Linked DNA regions of Schizosaccharomyces pombe. Each later gene encodes a partner of the first gene's protein in a complex. Each region holds a gene or a part of one and is shown in the gene's direction. Other genes may lie near its edges. The genes, in order: mrpl23, mrpl28, mrpl17 and mrpl37.

The links.
Region 2: mrpl23 (region 1) and mrpl28 share a complex: the UniProt entries of both Schizosaccharomyces pombe proteins name them as parts of the mitochondrial large ribosomal subunit.
Region 3: mrpl23 (region 1) and mrpl17 share a complex: the UniProt entries of both Schizosaccharomyces pombe proteins name them as parts of the mitochondrial large ribosomal subunit.
Region 4: mrpl23 (region 1) and mrpl37 share a complex: the UniProt entries of both Schizosaccharomyces pombe proteins name them as parts of the mitochondrial large ribosomal subunit.

Annotation. Positions count from the first base shown.
Region 1 is NC_003423.3:4,217,405-4,222,129, forward strand, and holds mrpl23 (mitochondrial 54S ribosomal protein uL13m), read left to right. Parts: upstream 1-2,368; 5' UTR 2,369-2,498; coding exon 2,499-2,519; intron 2,520-2,561; coding exon 2,562-3,014; 3' UTR 3,015-3,212; downstream 3,213-4,725. Other genes in the region: mrz1 (ubiquitin-protein ligase E3), read left to right, coding at 1,270-2,076; scs2 (VAP family protein), read right to left, coding at 3,541-4,502. UniProt on the Schizosaccharomyces pombe protein: Component of the mitochondrial ribosome (mitoribosome), a dedicated translation machinery responsible for the synthesis of mitochondrial genome-encoded proteins, including at least some of the essential transmembrane subunits of the mitochondrial respiratory chain.
Region 2 is NC_003424.3:2,667,221-2,671,983, forward strand, and holds mrpl28 (mitochondrial 54S ribosomal protein mL40), read left to right. Parts: upstream 1-2,430; 5' UTR 2,431-2,592; coding exon 2,593-2,949; 3' UTR 2,950-3,148; downstream 3,149-4,763. Other genes in the region: mrps12 (mitochondrial 37S ribosomal protein uS12m), read right to left, coding at 1,114-1,602; Brix domain-containing protein Rpf1, read right to left, coding at 3,309-4,229. UniProt on the Schizosaccharomyces pombe protein: Involved in mitochondrial genome encoded proteins translation.
Region 3 is NC_003421.2:2,122,949-2,128,262, reverse strand, and holds mrpl17 (mitochondrial 54S ribosomal protein mL46), read left to right. Parts: upstream 1-2,517; 5' UTR 2,518-2,602; coding exon 2,603-2,720; exon of another isoform or gene 2,721-2,814; coding exon 2,815-3,248; intron 3,249-3,396; coding exon 3,397-3,495; intron 3,496-3,562; coding exon 3,563-3,718; 3' UTR 3,719-4,130; downstream 4,131-5,314. Other genes in the region: ubiquitin-protein ligase E3 Asr1, read left to right, coding at 1-529; twf1 (twinfilin), read right to left, coding at 981-1,112, 1,155-1,273, 1,314-1,449, 1,505-1,633, 1,742-2,109, 2,173-2,250, 2,289-2,313; SAGA complex deubiquitinating submodule subunit Sgf73, read left to right, coding at 4,407-4,989, 5,061-5,314. UniProt on the Schizosaccharomyces pombe protein: Component of the mitochondrial ribosome (mitoribosome), a dedicated translation machinery responsible for the synthesis of mitochondrial genome-encoded proteins, including at least some of the essential transmembrane subunits of the mitochondrial respiratory chain.
Region 4 is NC_003421.2:1,252,535-1,257,251, forward strand, and holds mrpl37 (mitochondrial 54S ribosomal protein mL54), read left to right. Parts: upstream 1-1,783; 5' UTR 1,784-2,010; coding exon 2,011-2,430; 3' UTR 2,431-2,692; downstream 2,693-4,717. Other genes in the region: cca2 (ATP/CTP tRNA nucleotidyltransferase), read left to right, coding at 2,746-4,056, 4,116-4,259; protein mug117, read right to left, coding at 4,399-4,717. UniProt on the Schizosaccharomyces pombe protein: Component of the mitochondrial ribosome (mitoribosome), a dedicated translation machinery responsible for the synthesis of mitochondrial genome-encoded proteins, including at least some of the essential transmembrane subunits of the mitochondrial respiratory chain.

The DNA of each region.
Region 1 (4,725 bases):
TGTAGTAACAAATATTGTTATACAAAGTATATCCATTTTTATTGACTATGAATTTATTAAATAATGTTTTCAAGTGAGCAAGACGAACCCGAAAACAGAAAAACAATAAGCCCATAAATTTTTGTTTATTTAAGTAAATATCTCAAGCCGTCTAAATTAGTCATGTGAACTTGCAATCAGCATTACATTTTGACTAACTCTTAGAACTTATATGAAGTAGAAGTTGTTGCCTCGGTACCGCGGTATTATATGCAGTTCATTTTGTTTTGGAGAATGCAAAATCGAGTTCGCTCTAAACAATTCTTTTAAGCAATAATCTTAAAAGGCAAATATTGAAATCAAAGATACGTAGCTGTTTCAACTATAAACAAGTACATTCCAAATTTTAAATCTAGAGATTAGGGTTTTCCACGGTAGTTTAAAGAGCGAAAAGGCATTCAGATGAACAAAAGATGCTAAGTTTTTTAGCTAAACCCGCTTATACTTTCTTATTTCTCGAGGACTTTAGCCTCTCTACTTACCTAAAAGTTTCTGTACAGTGCAATACAGGTTACTTCGTTATATTTTTTAACTGTTGACTACGCAGTTCGGTATCTGTTTAACGATACGAAAAATTGCGGTACGTTTCTCTAGCGACCTACAATATAGCGGTATGCAATATTTAACTAACAATGTATATTTATTGTTATAAGAAGTCTATTAGTATCGGTCACCGATATAGCTAATAACTGAGCTGAGGAACGAGGTTCAGTGGTAGCTCTATTTACAATCTTTCTAATAGTTTTTAGCAATTTATTTATGTATGCAGAAAAGCAATTTATCCGCATCTATCAGCAAACGAATCTTAAGTAATATCTTAGCATATGACATATAGTGATACGCAACGTACTGTATCATAGCTAGTGTAGTTCTGCTAACATTAACATGTACTTCTTTGTTTGTATTATGCATATAGCATTAACCGCGTTAAGCTAAGTTAACGTTACGAAGAGCGTACAGAAGAGATTCAGTTTAGTAACTGCGAATTGTTAATTGTTCTCATAACTTAGCCTACATCTAGTGTAAGACGACGATTGTGAAAATTCACCTTAAAAAATTCAACAAGTCTTGCAAATTATGACTTGAATAATTTTCCATTAAGAAGAATAAGCACACAATGTTTTTTGATGACAAGATAACTTGACATTCTGCCATTCATGCGGTTTCATACACATCAATTAATTTAGTGCATAAATACAATATAACAAGTTATTAAATTTTAGAAGAAGAATGAAAAAGCAATTCCTTGTACGTAAAAACTCGTCAAATTCTCGCTACCTTCGTCGAGATTGCGTTATATGTTTACAAAAAGATGGTCTTCGGGCACAGCTATCTCCATGTGGGCATGACCAGTTCGATTATTCTTGCATATGTCGCTGGATGGATCAATCCTTGACATGTCCCATCTGTAAGAGACACGTAGATTGTGTGTTTTATGGATTTCATGGGTCAAGTTTGTATAAGAAGTGGTATACTCAATCTTTGGGGTCAAATCAGTATTCGATTTCACGACAATTACTACGGCAGCCTTCATTTTCCTCCAGCGAAAACACTGACAGATTGGCCGATTTGCTACGCGTACGACGTTTCATCTATCAAAAGGCATGGAAAAGCTATGAAAATCCCTCGCTTTCATCACATAGGCAATATCAAATACCCACTCCTATCCAACTAGCTTCTAGCGCATCTTTATTAAAGAAAGTGGAAAGCTTTATTGCTAAAGAACTTCTCTTGTTTGAATATTTAGATGGACATCAAATTAACTTTATACAAATCTTTTTGATGGGTCTCTTACGAGTTCAGAATATTCAACATCCACAAACCATTGATGAATTAGCGGAATTTATAGGCCATGAAGAGTCCTCTATACTCCTCCATGAATTGCAAAGATATTTACAATTCCGTCCATTGTCGATAAGCAGCTACTTGTATAGCAAGCGATATTTGTATGGTCCGGAAGGCTTAACAATGGTTCAGCTGTTGAGTCAAATTGAAAACATTCAGCATGAATCTGGTCCTGAGACGGAAAATTCGTAATCAAGCGTTAATTGTATATTATTGCAATTTACTGTGATTCTTTGGGCTTATCAAAAATTAGTTTTATCATTGTATCGTTCATTGCCTTATTTTTTCTAATATATACAAATGGTATTTTTTGAAGCAATAGCTATTAGCTTTATCATGATTAGTAAAGGAGGTTCGTATTATGAATTGAAAAATCAATATTTAAGAAATAATAAATAAAACAACATTTTTGAAAAATAGAAATTTTGTAGGTAACAGTTACCTTACTACAGTTGCTTAGCATCCAATATTTACCCACACCTACAAGCTTGAGGAAACATTATTTGAGCAATTTTCCTACTTCTCTTTTATTAGAAACCACTGATATTGTACTGTCGCTTTAAGAGAAAAATCAGAAGGAACTGAGGATTTTATGATATAGAAATCTCAACGCGATGTCAACGTTGAATGGACAAGTATGAAATTAGTTTGACAGTTTCTTTTACTAACAATATCAGACAGCATTGGCTTACGCCAAAGTTTGGCATCATGTTTCTGCAAAAAATGTTCCTCTAGGTAGGCTGGCTTCCCAAATTGCAACTACTCTTATGGGCAAGCACAAACCCATTTATCACCCTGCAGCAGACTGTGGAGATGTCGTAGTAGTCACTGACTGTTCTGAAATTGGGATTTCTGGTCGAAAACTCGAAAATCATAAATATTATTCACATTCGGGTCAGCCTGGTCATCTTAAAGAGTGGACGATGGAAGAAATGGCTGCGAAACGGGGGCACAAGGATTTGTTGAGAAGAGCAGTTGGTGGAATGCTTCCAAGAAATAAGCTTTGGGATAGGAGAATGAAACGTCTTTATATTTACGATGGAGCTGAACACCCTTATAAGGCAAACATATTTCGTTCCTACCATAATCCTGTAAGTTCGCAAATTGCGAAGGAATTATTCTCGAAATAAGTGTTTAAAATCTCCTTTAATTTTAAAAGGTAGTTCAAAGAACAAAAGCCATATCCCTACTCACTTAAATTTCATTGATTTTTTGCATTAATGTTTGAACATTCCACAATGTCGTATGCCCTAAAAAGCTAACACATTTTAATATTGTTCTTTCCAAAAAAAATTATTTTATATAAATTAATGTTATTGTATTCACTATAAGAAGCTGTAATGTATTTAAAGACACATTTACGTTTGTGAACTGGTAAGAATGAATGTCTGGTAACCATAAGAGGACTACAACTTTTCTTGCGAGTAAAAAGTAGATAACATGAGACGTCGACATAAATAACGACATTTGGAAATTATCTCCAAAGCCAGATAAACGCGCTAAAAAGTACCCTATCGTTGTGAAGAGCAAACAAATTCAACAAACGTCAACCTAAAACCTTGCTTAGCAAAGGCCATATAAAGTAATAAAATCAAGAGCCATTAACTTAGGGAGAAGATTTTACACTTCTTATTAAACATATCTACGCTTTACATTTTAAAAGAAAAGATAGCCAATAAGGAAGAAAATCAGGCAAAGAATGATAACAATATTGGGAGGAATTCCTGGAGATTCGGTTAAAGAAGCACCAGTGGAACTCGAAGGGTCAGCTGAATAAGAGGGCTTGATTTGTTCCAAGGCGTTGTCGGAACTATGAGCACCTGCAGCAGGTTTTGCCCCTTGTAAAGATTCACGAGTTTCAGATCCGAGATTTTCAGAAACTTTTTCAACGGCAGGGGTAGATTCAGGAAGTTTAGAATCGAAATCATTCTTCTTAGTATCAAATTCTTCATTGACAGCTGATAAATTTTGGGGGACGGGAGGAGGGGGGTGGACTGGTGGAGTCGAAGAAACAGAGCGACGAGGGCTTTCTGAAGGCTTTGGAATTTCATTATCAATAATATCTTGTACCTTCGATCTAGCAACATCGGCTCCTTTGGAAGAAGCACTTTCGGCTGTCACAATGGTATCTTTGACAGAAGCAGCACCATTGTCAGCATCAGTAACAACGGTTTGAACTACACTGGCGTCGGGAATTTGTGCACTTTCGAAAGTAGAGCGGAAGGTACTATCTGGAACAACAGTATTAACACCATTGCTTAAATGATCCTTTGCTCCATTGAAGTCATTTTGAGCTTCATCCAAAGACACACCAACCGCCGTAGGGCCGCCGACAGAAGATGCTAAGTTTTCGGAACCTTCAACAGAAACAGGGGGGTTAGAAGTACTAGTGTTCTCAACCTGTTTATCAGCGGATTGAGGAGGTTGCTTAGTTGAATAAACACAGCGGATTTTACGATCAAAAATGGAACGGCCTTGTTTTTCCATTTCAGTCCAAAACTCGTGATAATTTTCGACATTACTGGTATCAGCATCACCGATAGCCATACTTTGAATTAAAAACTTGTCACGACATTTAAAGTCAGGAGCAGGCTCCTCCTTCATAGCTTGAAGCAAAACTAGAATATATGTTAGCCAAGATAATAGAAAAACACTAGAGGCACGTAAAGATAAAAAAAAAAGATGATAGTAGTTTATTCCAAAAAAAGAAGAGCGAAAAACAACAAACTTTAAAAGAATAAAATATAATATCACAACTTTTAAAAGTCCAAAATGTATTTATATCTTATCTAAATATAAAAACATTTGAAAGACATAAAAAAGACTACAAAAAAATAAATG
Region 2 (4,763 bases), on another chromosome or scaffold:
CGTAGAAATGAGCATGTAAATATGAAATTGCTTTTTAACAGCTTTTAGTTAAGATGTTTTTTTTGAAAGTGAATTTATTTCCTGGAATTAGTTAATAGTATGAAGATTGAATATCAGATGAATTAAAAAGCATGTTGTGATTGATGTTATATGTCTCTTTAAAACAAAATTGTGGTTGTGTATTGTTATTAAATTTGTTACGATTTTGTTAACATTCCAAAAAAGAGTACGGAATTTACAAACATTACAGGACATCTCAAAGATGTGTGTGTAAATTGATTCTAACAAAAAGAAATTTGATTTTTTTTAATCTGAGTTTGTAAAAAATAAGATTCATCATACCCTATTATCTCAAATTTATGAATTATTCGGGTTCAAGATAAAATCTTCTTTTTCTTTCAAGAAATCCAATTAACCAAGATTTGTTAAAAAATATTTTTCTCATCGTTTAGTAAATTTTTCTGCAACGTTGAACGGTGAAGTTGTGCTAGCAATACTGCATACTATATAAATAAGAACCGGAAAGCGTTTTCCAACACCCAAAAGGTGTTTTTTATACTTTATTCAAGAGTTAAAAATTAAATAGCACGGTAGTAAAACCAAATTGAACAAATTAAAAATTGAAAGCGTCTCAAGTTTAAAATTTATTTAAAGAGCTTATATCAAAAAAGTAGAAAACTTTCCAAAAGGATTTCTCAAAAGAAAATCCTCCTCATTTTAATAAATCATTGTTTAGATAGATTTGGTTAAATTTTAACCAAAAGGATTATCTATTTGCTAATTTTTTAGATAACTGGAAATTGCCTAATTACACAATCTTTTTTACCTTTTTTTGATGATTGTATGTTTAAAGGGGATGTAGTTCAACTAAAAAATTGCTTATTAAACATGCAAGAGTAAATGATTATTGAATATGTATAGTTGCAACAAGAAGCAAGGTTGCGAGAAATGACAAATGGGTTGACTCAACTTTTTTCTCATTTAAATTTTTGTTTCAGTCATTTTAATAAGGTCCTTGTGAATCGATATCAAAAGAGGAGGTGGAATAATTATAAAGATAACGTTTCTGAATATCATGGTTTTCGAAAAAGAAAGTCTTTGAGGTCATGAAGTTTAGGCTGCTTTCGGTTTTTTTACTCCATACTTGCTTCGGGATGTGACACGTCCCGCTACACCAGCAATGTCATAGACACCCCGAACAACATGATATTGGACTCCTGGACAATCCTGTGCTCTGCCGCCTCTTAACAATACCACAGCATGCTCCTGTGCATTATGACCGATACCTGGAATGTAAGCAGTAACAGAACGGCCGGTTGAAAGGCGTACACGGGCAACCTTTCTTACTGCCGAATTAGGTTTTTTGGGTTTTACTGTAAAGACCCTCGTGCACACACCCCGTCGAAACGGACTTCCCTCTAAAGCAACAGATTGCTTATTTGTTTTTTCAGGACGTTTCTCTTTATTTCTTATCGTTTGATTTAATGTCTTTAACATAACTGAAGAGCTAGAAAACGCTTGAGCCTGAAATGGTGAAATAACTGTTGGCTTCATCAACCTTGAAATTACCGGATATCGAGCATATTGAGCAAAACGGATCATTATTTGGGGAAATTTAATATTTGAGCTGTATAAAATCTCAAAAATCACTATAATAGATGCTTGAGCAAGGAATTCCGAAGTTTGTACCCGAACGTCGCTGGTTTGGTGTTAGTGTATGTATATTGCCTTGGAATAGAATATCTCGCAGCATTCATATTATTCGATGGGATACAAAAATTTATTCTTTTATATTTTGACAAACATTTTTGGGTATAACTAGCGTATTAAATATTTTTTCCTCTAGGAATTGAACTTTAATGGACTAGTCTAAAACAGATGCAGAATGTAGGTATGCTAATCGACAAATTTACAGTACAGTGTTAAGCTGAAAAAATCAACTTAATTCATGACTTCTACTGAAAAACGTACTGGAAGTAGATTGTATTGAGGTTTAAGCTTCGTTTTGCCATGCCATTTTCAGTTGATGATAGTATTTATTACAATAACTTATCCATTCATTAAAACTTTAAACACTGATATGGATTTATCAATGTGTTTGACTACTTACATGAAACTTAGCAGAAAAATTGAGCATCAGGCCTACTCCATATAAAGCTTTGACTTAAAACTTAATATTTTCTACTTGTTAAATGTCTTCGTTTGGTTACATATCTCCATAAATGCATATGCTTTGTTTGGCTTAGCTACTGAAAATTCAGAAACAATTAAATGAACTCCGAATTATAATCTATATTTTTTTTATCAGTGTGTGAAATTGAAGGGGATTTGATGAAACACTTCTTTTTTTGAAATATCGTACTGGTGGCTTTTCCTAGTGTATCACGACTTACTCTCTTAATTAGCTTCATACCACTGAACACGTTTACTACTACCGCATTTTTCTCTACTCAGGTTTTTTAGCTTTTAAAGGAAGGTTTTATGTTAATACTTTTGAAAATTAAATTTTTTTCTATCAACGTGAAAAAATTCAAGGAGTACTTTAGTTTGTGTTGAAAAGTTTTTTGGCAGATGCGTTCTACGTTACAATTAATGGCTAAGGCCTCAAAGGGAAAGCACCAATCTGGTCCTTCTAATCATAGTGAGTCAATCGATTTGGTTAGAAAAGCTCTTTACGGAAATAAAAAAGTCAGGTCTTTGAAAATGAATCCAGACATGTGGGAAAAACACGAAGTTATTAATCGCGCTTGGCGTATACACGAATATCGACAAGAAAAACAAAGAGAGAATCTTCTAAAAAACCAATTCTCTGCAATGAAAATTGCTTGCGAGGAACTGAAGCATACGAGTGAAACATTATATAAAGCCGCAATGAGCGATTCAATTAACAGGAGGTTCCCCGTAGAAACGAGGACTCCTACGGACACACCACCACGGCTTTCTAAATAGGCGAGCGCCTTTTATGAGTATAATTAATATCTTCGGTAGTGCTCGAAAGTGTTATAGACAAGTTCAAGTATATAAAAAAATGTATCACTAATTACGAGCAAGTATAATCTAATTAGGATTTTTAAATAAACCAATAATTGAATTAAAGAATTATGTCTCCTAGTTTCTAGTCTACATGTATCATATTATTCATTCCCAATTTCACCGTAAACGAATGATACAAAATGAAAGGCCATGCTTTCTTTTTTAACCAAAAATTTAGAATTGTTACCAAACCCAAACCCTACCTCGAAAACAATAAAATATGACCCAAACACTGTTTTCTTTTTACAACGTGTCGCAGATGAGACAAAATGTCTTTAAAGCCAGAATTTACGTCTATCTGATTCTTCACCGGCATTGCTCTCGAAGAAAACCTCCCCTTCTTTCCTATCCCATACTCCTTTTTGAACCATACGAAGACGCATGGTAAATCGAGGACCTAATTCTTGTAGCCCAGTTCCAATACCATCTGGCATATTCGATTTTTCACGAAATGCATAACGGTGTCTTCGAAAAAAAAGAAAATCTCTTTGACAATGGATGGTAACAACTTGTCGCCCTTGAATTTGAGGCGTTTGAATAAATAATGATTGAAAGGCTCGAGCAACAGTCATACCAAGTCTCGTTGAGAAATTGTTGATTATCAGTTCTGGAATATGACCAGTGGAGCGGCCATGATTTGAAATTTCCTTTGCTGTTTGGAGATTCGATAAGGTAAAATAGAACGAAGGGCCATTCGGTAAGTGTACAAGGGTTAATGCATTTGTTTTTTTACGATCCTCATTTAATACCAGTAAATCGGTGTAACCACGCTTAGCAGCGGCTTCTGCGATTTCATGAACTTCAATATCTCCGGTTCTTTTTCGAAATTCAGCATTAGGAAAACAATCTAAAAGCTCAGATGCAAAATCATAGCATTTTCTAGAGGCTCGTTTACTCGTGGTTACCAAAAGTTTCGGAACTTTCCTTTCTTCACTAAAGTATGCAGAAAACTCATCATCTTTTAACTCCGCCTGAAGTTCCTCATCGGGTTTATCCTCTATGATAGTTTCATCATAAACTCGTTTCGATTCAATAGTAGCGGGAATATTTTCTGAAAGTCGCAATCTCTTCTTTTCCGGGTCTTTTTCTTCTTCTTTAGCACGTTCTTTTCTTCTTTCAAGCTTGTCCTTATTTTTTTGATGAAGAGCCTTCATATACTGCTGTTGGCGGACAATTTTGTTTTTAATCTTCCCCATTTTAATAAGTTGCGTATAATCTCTCAAAATTTAAAATTTAAGAATGAAATAATTTAAATCCTTACAAAAAATTGCAACTAAAAAAAATTGAGATAAGAATGAGCAACTTAAGTACAAATAAAAGAGAGTTAAAAAAAAGTATACGATGGGTTTGAAGTCTCAAAAACTTATTGCACAATCCAATTCCATGTCGCAAAATACCGAATCTGAAGAACATGCTACGAATTTCGTCAAATTTGCTTAAAAGTATTAACGCAGTATTATATCACACTGCTGTTAAGCAAAATGTATACTTTAGTTACAATTACTGTTTGTAAATAGGTGATATTACAATCCGAAATCGTACACTATAGATATCCTCATCATTAAATTGTTGAACAACTGAAAGCATTGTGGTAAGGGTTCAACATTCTACAAATCACTCACGCTACTTTCATTTTCACATTTGAATGCGTGCTTTGAATGGAACTAGCAGAAATGAAAGGGACGATAGTCTTTTAATTTCATTTCTTTACTTTCTTTTTACTTTCTTCT
Region 3 (5,314 bases), on another chromosome or scaffold:
AATAGATACTTCCTTTATGTTAAGTTTACAACATGAGATTAAGAATTCTCACTCTGAAGCTTCGGATGGAACTTCAGACGTTCACTTGACTCCTCTTTTCTCAAATCTCTCTCCTCGACCATCTCACGTACCGCTATCACCTAGGGAAATCAGTAATGATAATTTGGATGACCATTTGATTGAACTTTCGGAACCAGGAGAAATTGTGGATAATCATTTAGTTAATGATACGAGTATGCATCAACGACGCACTTCGGGCCGACATGATTTGGTGCATTCCAGCAAAAAAGTCTCTTATGAAACGAAGTATCGAATAGAACGGCTAGTTAACGCAGCTCTGAAGCCTTATTATCGAGAAGCAAAAATATCTAAAGATCAATTTGCTCTATTCAATAAGAATATCTGTCGATCTGTATACACTGCGTTATCGGATGGTACTCTGTCGCTTGAAGGACCTCAGCAACATAAAATAAGCAAGACAATACGGGAAAAGGTTGTTAACTGTATACAGTCTCTTTCAAATGACTGATTATGAGTTATGTATTTATGATAGGAGTTATGGTTTGGTGCATATGCTTTTAATATTATATCATATCTAATCTTTTGGAAATCAGAAAGTAACTTTTGAGGTCAATTACAATTTCCAAAAGAGTATTTATTTTGTTAATGAAGGATAGTGTTTCTTTAATGTTTGAACAATATATGTTTGCAAGATTAACACTCGTCAAGAATGGAGTCTTTAAGGATTTCGCTTTTAGAAAAGAGGAAACAATGTATAGATCTAGTGATTGTCTTATTCTATTTATTGAAGTATAACATTTTGCATTGCAAAGTGAGACCGTTAATATAGCATGCAACGTGTGCTCAATATAGGCGTTGGTAGTATATTTTGTTTTAATTCGAATTTGAAATGTCATGAAAAAGATTGATAAACTAAAAAGTCTGTAAATTTGAAACCGCAAAAAATTGTATATACTTGCTTAACGTCTTCTAGGGGGTCGAGGTCTCGAAAAACCAGTTTTGGTGGTGCTTGTTTCTGCTTGAGGACTTGATATCCCAGCAGCATGAAGAATTTCCTTTTCAGTTATATCAGCGGCATCATTCGATTCAATCTGTCATGTGAGCATAAAATCTACTACGAGGGATAAACATACCTTGCCATCAATAACAATACCCAATTCTGCTTTAATACTATCCAAAAGACCAAGTTTGGAAGAAGAATAAACCATTCGATGTTTGACAGTTGCTTGCATTGGACAAATGTATATAAACACTAGACCTTGTTAATAAAATGATCCTGCATCTGTACTTACAAATTTTTGAAGAGCCGTCTTTTGGCAGGGAATAGAAAGCGAAATTAGGTTCGGTGGAAGAAAAGAAGGATTTCACATCAGAAGGAGGTATATTTTGCTTTTCTTGACTTAAACTTATGACTTCTTTGTCAATAGACTTTTAAAGGAGGTTAGCAACACCATACATAGCAAAAGTATCATAGCTTCCTTACCAAAATAACAAGATTGTTTTCTGTAGATGATTTTAAATCAGAAAGAGCCTTTAAGGCTTTATCATCAATCGACATAGCAACACCACGGGTCACCAAAGGACGCTTATGAGTTACTGAGGATTGCATAGACTACATAGTTGTTAAAATAGATGCAAATAAAAGAGTAGAAGCTATAAATTCTACGAGCCACGGTAAAGAAGTATGAAAAATCCATCCACCCCAATACAGTTTACCTACCTCATTGTACTCTTTCCTTTCGAGTTCATCTTGTCGTAAAGGACTTTGGTCCTCTTGCTTGCTTAAGCTCTTCATAATTTGCTGATAATCTAACTCTTCCGGAGTACTTGCGAAATAAGACTCGTCGAGTTTAGCAAGAGTTACGCATCTTACAAATGCAGCACGACTAGAGGCATATAACATCTTCCTGCGAACATTCGCATTTTCAGGGACATAGGAAATTAATTGTAATAGATTTTTCTTGCTATCATCATAAACGAGGACAAATGCAGGTTCTTCAGATCCGAGCAAACATTCACGGACTTTCTTAAAATCAGATTCTATCGATTCTGATTTTTCAACCATTGTTTTCACGTCAAATGAATTCTCTAAATCATTTAGTAACTTCAACTAACTTAAAATTTACTCTTCTAGCCCGAATGGAAACTTACCATTAGAAATGCTAATAATGGCGGCGCGAACCGGTACCGAAGAGTACTCCTCGAGAAATTTACTGAACTTCTCTGTAGCTATCCACACGTTAGAAGAATTTAGCCAAATTTCTTACGTTTTAATTCGACGGAAGCAGACATTGTTATGGGGATTGAAAGGTTTACTGCGTCAGCAATTCCCCATTCTAAGTGAGTTAAATTGAATTATAACGAAATCCAAAGAAATCTATTAAAACATATTAACGATAGCAACAGAGTCTCTAAGAAATATTACAGTACTTAACGAAGCGTGTAATGTACGCTGGTAAAACAGGTGGTAGTGCTAGCCATAGCGAAACGTCGATTGCCTTTACCAAGTGGTCTTTACCGGATTAGTAAACAAAGCCGAAATTTGGAGATTTACTTGGCGTAAATTGACTAAGTTTAAACAATGTACTTGAAGAGAAATATTATAAATATGCAGAGGTCTTTTTCGCGTCAATTTCACATTTCTGTACGAAATTCCATTCAATCCTCTAAACCCTTGTCTAACTCGACTCCTCTAAAAGGTACAGAATTAAAAAATGAAAATGAATTATCTAGGGATATTAAATATAAATAAAAAAATTACCTTTGATGTACATGATTGCTAACATATCTTAGGTTGTTCAGTGGGTACAATTTTAATTAGATCGCCAATTCTTACTCGCCAACCATCCGAATTCGAAAAATCTATATATAAATATAATGCGGAACTTTGGAATGAGCTGAGTGATCCTTTACCTGCAGAATTTTATTTCAAGAAGGGATCGGTGGGTGAAAAAGATTGGCAAGAACGACAAAAAACACTAAAAGGTAAAGAATCACCCTTTGAGACGATATTTGGAAAGGAAAGGAAAGAGATGGAGTCTAACAAATTATTGGATTCTGCAACTCACTTGCAATCCAGAGTCACAGAAGCTGATACGAAAAACGATGAGCGAAGCACTCTTCGCTCGCTTGACAAGTCCCTTTACTTGTTGGTAAAAAAATCTAAAAGCTCGGGTTGGCAATTTCCTAACACTCCTGTTACAAGCTCCGAGAAGGCGCTGCATCTGGTAAGTACATTTTTTAAAATTCGATTCCAAGATACACAATATAGTGCAAGAGACTACTTACTATTGATTTGATGCTAAATAATTTATCAAATACTCTTGCAATTTTTGTTTACATAGTCTGCAGATTGGCCTTTCTAACAAACTGTAGTTATGTCAAGATCTTTTAAAAAATATATTAGACGAAAATTCGTTGACTTGGCTAGTTGCACGTCATCCATTAGCATTACTAAAAACGGAACAAGAAAAGGTAAGACTACGGATTTTTTGTTCTCATTTTATCTGGGTTGATTTTTTGTTTAACCAGTTATTTCTAGACCTTCTTGTTACGTGCTCGTTTATTAAATGGATTAGATGTACCTAACCTGCAAAACGTTTATGACTGGGTTTGGTGTACGTACGATGAACTGAAAAACAAACTTTCTCCTTCTTCATGGGATTCTGTAAAAAACATACTTTCCGATCGTTTGTAATCTTCAATTGAGCAAACAATATGTAAAATCTACGGAAAATAAACAGCGGAACATTTCATCTTGGAAATTCAATCTTTCTACAATCTTACTGCATTTTTCAGCTTAATTTTCACGTTTTCTATTTTTTTCTCTCCTTAATTTTTGATGTTTTGGTACGATGTAAAAAAAAACAAATAATTTTGGAATTTCACTAAGTATTTCTCCTTATTTATTCTATCTTTTTATTTGCAAATGATTCTGCCAGTATTTTATTTTCAGCCGCCTACTTTTGGAGTCCGGATTTCATGATTACTCACCCTCATGATCTGTGGATTCTTGGCAGTGTACGAGAAAACGGGAAAAGCGCGCACCTTAATAATAAACTATGTTTAGCTCAAGGGACCTAAAAAAATAGAATTGTTAATCAAAATTGATATCCGTAGTTTGTCCTCAATTCCAAGATCAAAAATTCTTTTGTCAGTCATAGTCTAGCCCTTAAAGACAATGTCTGTATAATTTAGTAATTATCAGAAATGATATGTGTCAGCATAATCCTTTGAAAGTTCATTAGAATGCAATTATAGACTTTGCTTTCTGGAAGCATTAAACCGTACATACACTTGACTTACAGATTTAGTCCCACTACAAAGGAATTGACAAAGGGCAACTTTGTAGAATTCTGTTTATAAACTCGGTTCTTATCAATAAAATGTTAACAGAACAACAGACTTTGGAGTTATTTCCAGAAAATTGGGAAAGAAATGAGCAAGTTTTGTTGAAATACCCGGATGGGTTACCCAAAGATGTACTCGCTGATCAAAGAGTTGATAATACAGAATCACAGGTAAAGGATGAAATAACTTCTAACATTACGAATCAAACTCAAATTTTACTACCTGCTGATTCCTTTCCTCAGTATGGGTCATATCCTAACAATTCAGAACTCGATTATGTTGTATGCACAAAATGCGACCGACCCTTCCTATCAGAGTATATTGAGGACCATCATAGCTCATGCAATGGAATTAAACCTCCTAAGCCTCAATTTGAGCCTGTTGCGAATTCTCAGGTTTTAAACAAAGATGTCAACAATGGCAATAATGCACCCATCAAAAATGGTGTTAAATCGACAGCTAAGGGCTCAGCTGGGAATCATGAAAAGAATTCAGTTAATGGTCAAAAGAATCCTGAAATGCCTCCAAAACGTCGGAAGACAGAAGAAAACAAAAAGCCTACAAAATCCGCCCTTCCCAAGAAAGAGGCTAGCAAGAAGAAGAATCCAAAGGTCAAAGGTATGTTGGTTTATGCTGTTCAATATGGAGAATGGAGTACCTGTTTACTTTAATACTAACATTCAATTAAGGTCCTGTGGATGTTGAAAAGCAATGCGGTGTTTTGCTTCCTAATGGGCAAATGTGCGCCAGATCTCTCACATGTAAAACGCATTCAATGTCAAGCAAACGAGCCGTTCCGGGAAGATCTCAGCCATACGATGTTTTGCTTGCAGCTTGTCAAAAGAAAAACCAAGTAAAAATACAACGACAAATCCTCGAAACTGCAAAAGAATCCGAAGATAATCAGCATCAAGCGCCTGTTGATTCTGATGAAGAAGTCAGT
Region 4 (4,717 bases), on another chromosome or scaffold:
ATGCATATGGTAGGAATAGGCATTATTTATTAAATGGATTCGCAAATGGTTAATATTGTGCTAGGAGATATGTTGATTTCAATTGCAATATCTTTTACCTATATTTAAATGGCACTATGTAGAAAGCTGACAAGAGAATATTTTAACAAGCAATCCCGAATCATCAAAAATAAATTAAAATAATTTTAAAAAATAAAAAAAATAAATCGCAGAAGCACAAAGCATAATACTATTGATAAGTTCAATGTAATTTAATTTGGTTCATTACTATTTAAAACTAAATCCCCATCTTATAGTAATATAGAAATAAACAGAAAGTATATACAATTTCTCTACAGGATGAAAGAAAAAAAAACCCCCAGAAAATAAATGAGGGAAAAAAATAGGATATCAAATATTGATCGAGGAAATCACAAGCATTTCCTTCAGTGTAAGAAAAGCAAAATAGGGAAAATCGTAATTGTACATTGAAAGCATACATTTTTACAAAATTGTAAAATTTCTTTATTTAAATCGTTTCCAAAATGAACCGGAAATGTTATAAGCAAAAATATACTAAATAAATGAATTTAAAACTATTTCGGTACACTAAATAATCTCTTATAAATTTATTAAATTTAAATACATAATCTACTTAATACTAATCGTCTCAACGGAGGACAACGTGGCCGAGTGGTTTTAAGGCGTTCGCCTGCTATTCTGTAGCCCAGCGGATTCCCTTTGGGAGCGCAGGTTCGAATCCTGCCGTTGTCGGCATGATTTTTTTTATTTGTAAAATGAATATCGAAGAGCCTTAGAGAAATATGTTATAGGAATTTATCGAGGCAAATAATGAAATTCTAGTAAGAGAATAACCTGATGGTTAAAGCTTGTTTATTGATCTTCTTGCAGATTTTTTATTGTTTTCATGAGATGGATAATACTTTAAATGATTTATGTTCTATCTAAAGTAAAACTTGGCGAAATTTTAAGAAAACACCCATAAAGGTGTAACTATTAACTAAGAAGAGTTCGCAAGTCAGTGATTTATTTTTTTCAATTGTCCCGAGTGACTTAAGACACCGACTAGTACAATTTGTCAAATTTATTGTAAATCTATTTTTCTTTAACAAAAAGTGATTGCAAGCGCTTCTCGATCCTCAATGGATCAGTCGCTAACTGTGTGGAATAAGTACATTTCGCAAGTAAAAAAAATGGTAATTCTGACGTATCGAATGAAGGACATAACGTTAAACATAATTGAATACTAATTCTAAAATCTATATATGTTCTCTTTATTTAAACCGTACTACTAGATTGTTCCTCAATATCCCAAATAACACCTAATGGTTCTTTACCATTTACAACAATCAAGTGATTGTCGAAGAAACATTGCAAGTTGAGAAAAATGAATGAAGTAGAAATATTCTAATGTGCTAATGATTTATTGTAAAAATAAATCATATTATTTTATTTCTTTGACTTTCTTACATAGTCGAACACAGACAAATACAATTTTCGATTAACATTTCTAGAGTCTCACTTGATAGATTGTGCTTTACTTTATTTCATAAGTATTCCTATAGTACTCAAGCGTGCTTGGTATTATTATTGTAAACTTAATGACATTCTTGTTAGAACGACACCCCATTTGAACTTAGCAATAGTTTATAATTATGAAAAAAACAAAAACAAAAATTTTATTTTGATTCCCAAATTGTAAACAGACGCTTGAAACCCTTACATGTACCTGTGTCTGCTACCCATCTGTACATGAGTTGTATAGTAACGTCCAGGTTGTCCCATAACCAAACTCCTTGAACTTTGAAAGCGGCTCTTTATAGAGTCATTTTTTATTTCCTATAGTACTTGAAATAATATTATTCTCTAAAACTTTTCACTCAAAGAGCAGGACGTATTTGCTCCTTATATATGCGAAGGCGTTACTATTGACCTTTTTCATCGCCTTTGATCCACTTTTGGTTAAAGATTTTATCCTCCTTGCAAAGTTTTTTGTTTACTGTCTAAGCAATGCCATTTATCGAGTCAATGGCCCCTTTATCGCGCGCAATTACTCGCGGTATCTCTCAATTCTCATGCTACTCTAACACATTGGTTTTAAGAAGTTCCCGTAACTCTTCTTCATCATTAGTTAAACGAAGTTATGTATCCTCTCGTGTTTCACCCAAAAAGCCACAGCATAATTCGGATGCCACTTCTTCAGCTCAAAAAGTCGCTAATAAAACGCACACTAGTTCTGTCCTTCCAGGTACTATATTAAAGGGACTGTGTATAAAGGCGGGTGGCGTCGACCCTGTAGCTCGTGAAGATCATGAATATCCAGAATGGTTATGGTCTCTTCTGGATGAGCCAGCTCCCAATTCTAAGACTGCCCGAAGTCATGCTCGTAAAAGTGCCATTCGAGCGGCTAACTTTCTTACTAAAAAATAATTACCTTTTAGAATGTTTGAAACTCTTAATTTTCCATCTCCTCTCTATCCTTATGAGCATTTGATCCATTCTTTTTGTTTACTTTTTTTGAGGCATATGACATTCGCTACTTTACCATTTCCCAGAATCCAAAAATCATTTTAAAATAAAAATATATTAAATAACCTTATATCAGTGATATACATTTGTAGCATAAAAAAAATTACTACTACATGTCCTTCTTTAAGAGAAGCATATTCAAACCTCAACCTGCCAACCTTAGAGAAACCGGTATTGCCCAAACTGTGTATCGTTTATGGAATTTGGCTGACGAAAATGTATTCTAGAATTGTATTGAACGATGTTGAGAAAAAAGTTGTTAATCTTTTGAAAAAGACTGCTGATTTTATTGAATCTAAATCCAGCAGCAGTTCGTCATTGGAAGTTAGATTGGCAGGAGGATGGGTTCGCGATAAACTTCTTGGGCTTTCTAGTGACGATTTAGACGTTACGTTGAATAAAGTTACCGGTGTTGACTTTGCAAATTCAATATTTGAGTATGTTCACTCTCTCGACTCTGACTCAGTTATTCCATATAAAGACGCACTTGGCAAGCTAACTGTCAATCCCGATCAAAGCAAGCATTTAGAAACTGCTACCTTATCCCTATTTGACCTTGATATTGATTTTGTAGGACTTCGTGCAGAATCATATGATGATAAAAGTCGAATTCCTAGCGTTACCCCAGGAACTGTTGAAACAGATGCATTGAGAAGAGACTTCACGGTTAACACCCTATTCTTTAACATACGAACAGAAAAAATAGAGGACATTACAAAGCGAGGATATAAAGATTTGCAAACCAAAGTGTTGGTCACGCCCATTTCACCTCTCCAATCATTTTTGGAAGATCCCTTACGAATTTTGAGAGGCATTCGGTTTGCATCCAGATTTGAATTTACAATTGATCCGTCGGTCGTTTCCGCTATCCAAGATCCGAAAGTATGTAAAGCTTTTGAAAAAAAGGTTAGCAAGGAACGTGTAGGAGAGGAAATTGAGAAAATGTTGAAGGGTGCAAACGCGAAGCTAGCACTTCAACTGTTATATTCAACGAACACGTATCAGTTTACGTTCGATACTTTGCCAGCTGAAAAAGAATTTCAAATTCCAAAGGCATTGGAAGCTACCGAGTCTTTATTTCAGAGTCTTGCATTGACGTTTCCTAAACTTATGAAATTAAGTGAAGATGAGAAAATTGGGCTATGGCTATATGTTGCTCTAATTCCATGGTCTAGTCAAACTGTTATGGTTAAGAAAAAACAATTTTATATTCCTGCAATCATCGCAAAAGACAAGTTGAAGCTCAGAAGTACATATGTTAACCAGTTGAATCAGTGCTGCACATTCAATCCGATATTCGATGAATTAGTTAACGATACTTCCACTAAAAATTGCTCATCTATTGGCAGCTTAATACGACAATTGAATAAATCCTGGGAAGTCGTGTTTTTAACATCGGTCATATATAGTTGTTGTAAAACACCGGCAGCATCTGTATCAAATACATTTAGTTCTTATAAATCTCTATATGACTTTATTTATGACAAAAATTTACAAAATGCTTATAACATGAAGCCATTATTAGACGTATGTAATTCTTTTATTTCTGTTAACAATATTGAGCGAATAAGCTAACAATTTTTTAGGGAAAACAGATCATGAAAAATGTGGGAGTTAAGCCTGGCCCGCAGCTGAAAGAGACTATGGATAACATGATTTCCTGGCAATTTAAACACCCTGAAGGAAGTGTCGAAGATTGTGTTGCATACCTTCAATCCCTAAAAATATAAGAAAAGACAATCACTGTTTAGATAACTTAATCGCACAAAAGATTAAAAGAATAAAAGTCACCAGTAATCGTCGTCCTTTTTGGAAATTCGTATTTATGATATTTATGCTTAATTCAGAATGGATCCTTTCCTCTTATTATTACCAATCTCTAACCGGCTCTCGATAATCGTATTCGCTGGTGCTTGGTGTAATTTCGGTACAGTCTGGATAACAGTAGTTCAATTTGACATAGCATCTTGTGTTTTCATTATCATTATTAAAAAAACGAGTTCCACAAGCGGAACATTGCAAATTTAATTGATCAAATTCATCAATGATTTCGTTGCCTGTGCGTGCTGGATAATCACCTTCGCACTCATAAATGGCAGTGCAAGAACTAGCTGTATAAGAAGAATATCCATGGTAGATCAAGGATCTATTATACTTCATGTACGCGTTCGGACACGCACGATTTTCT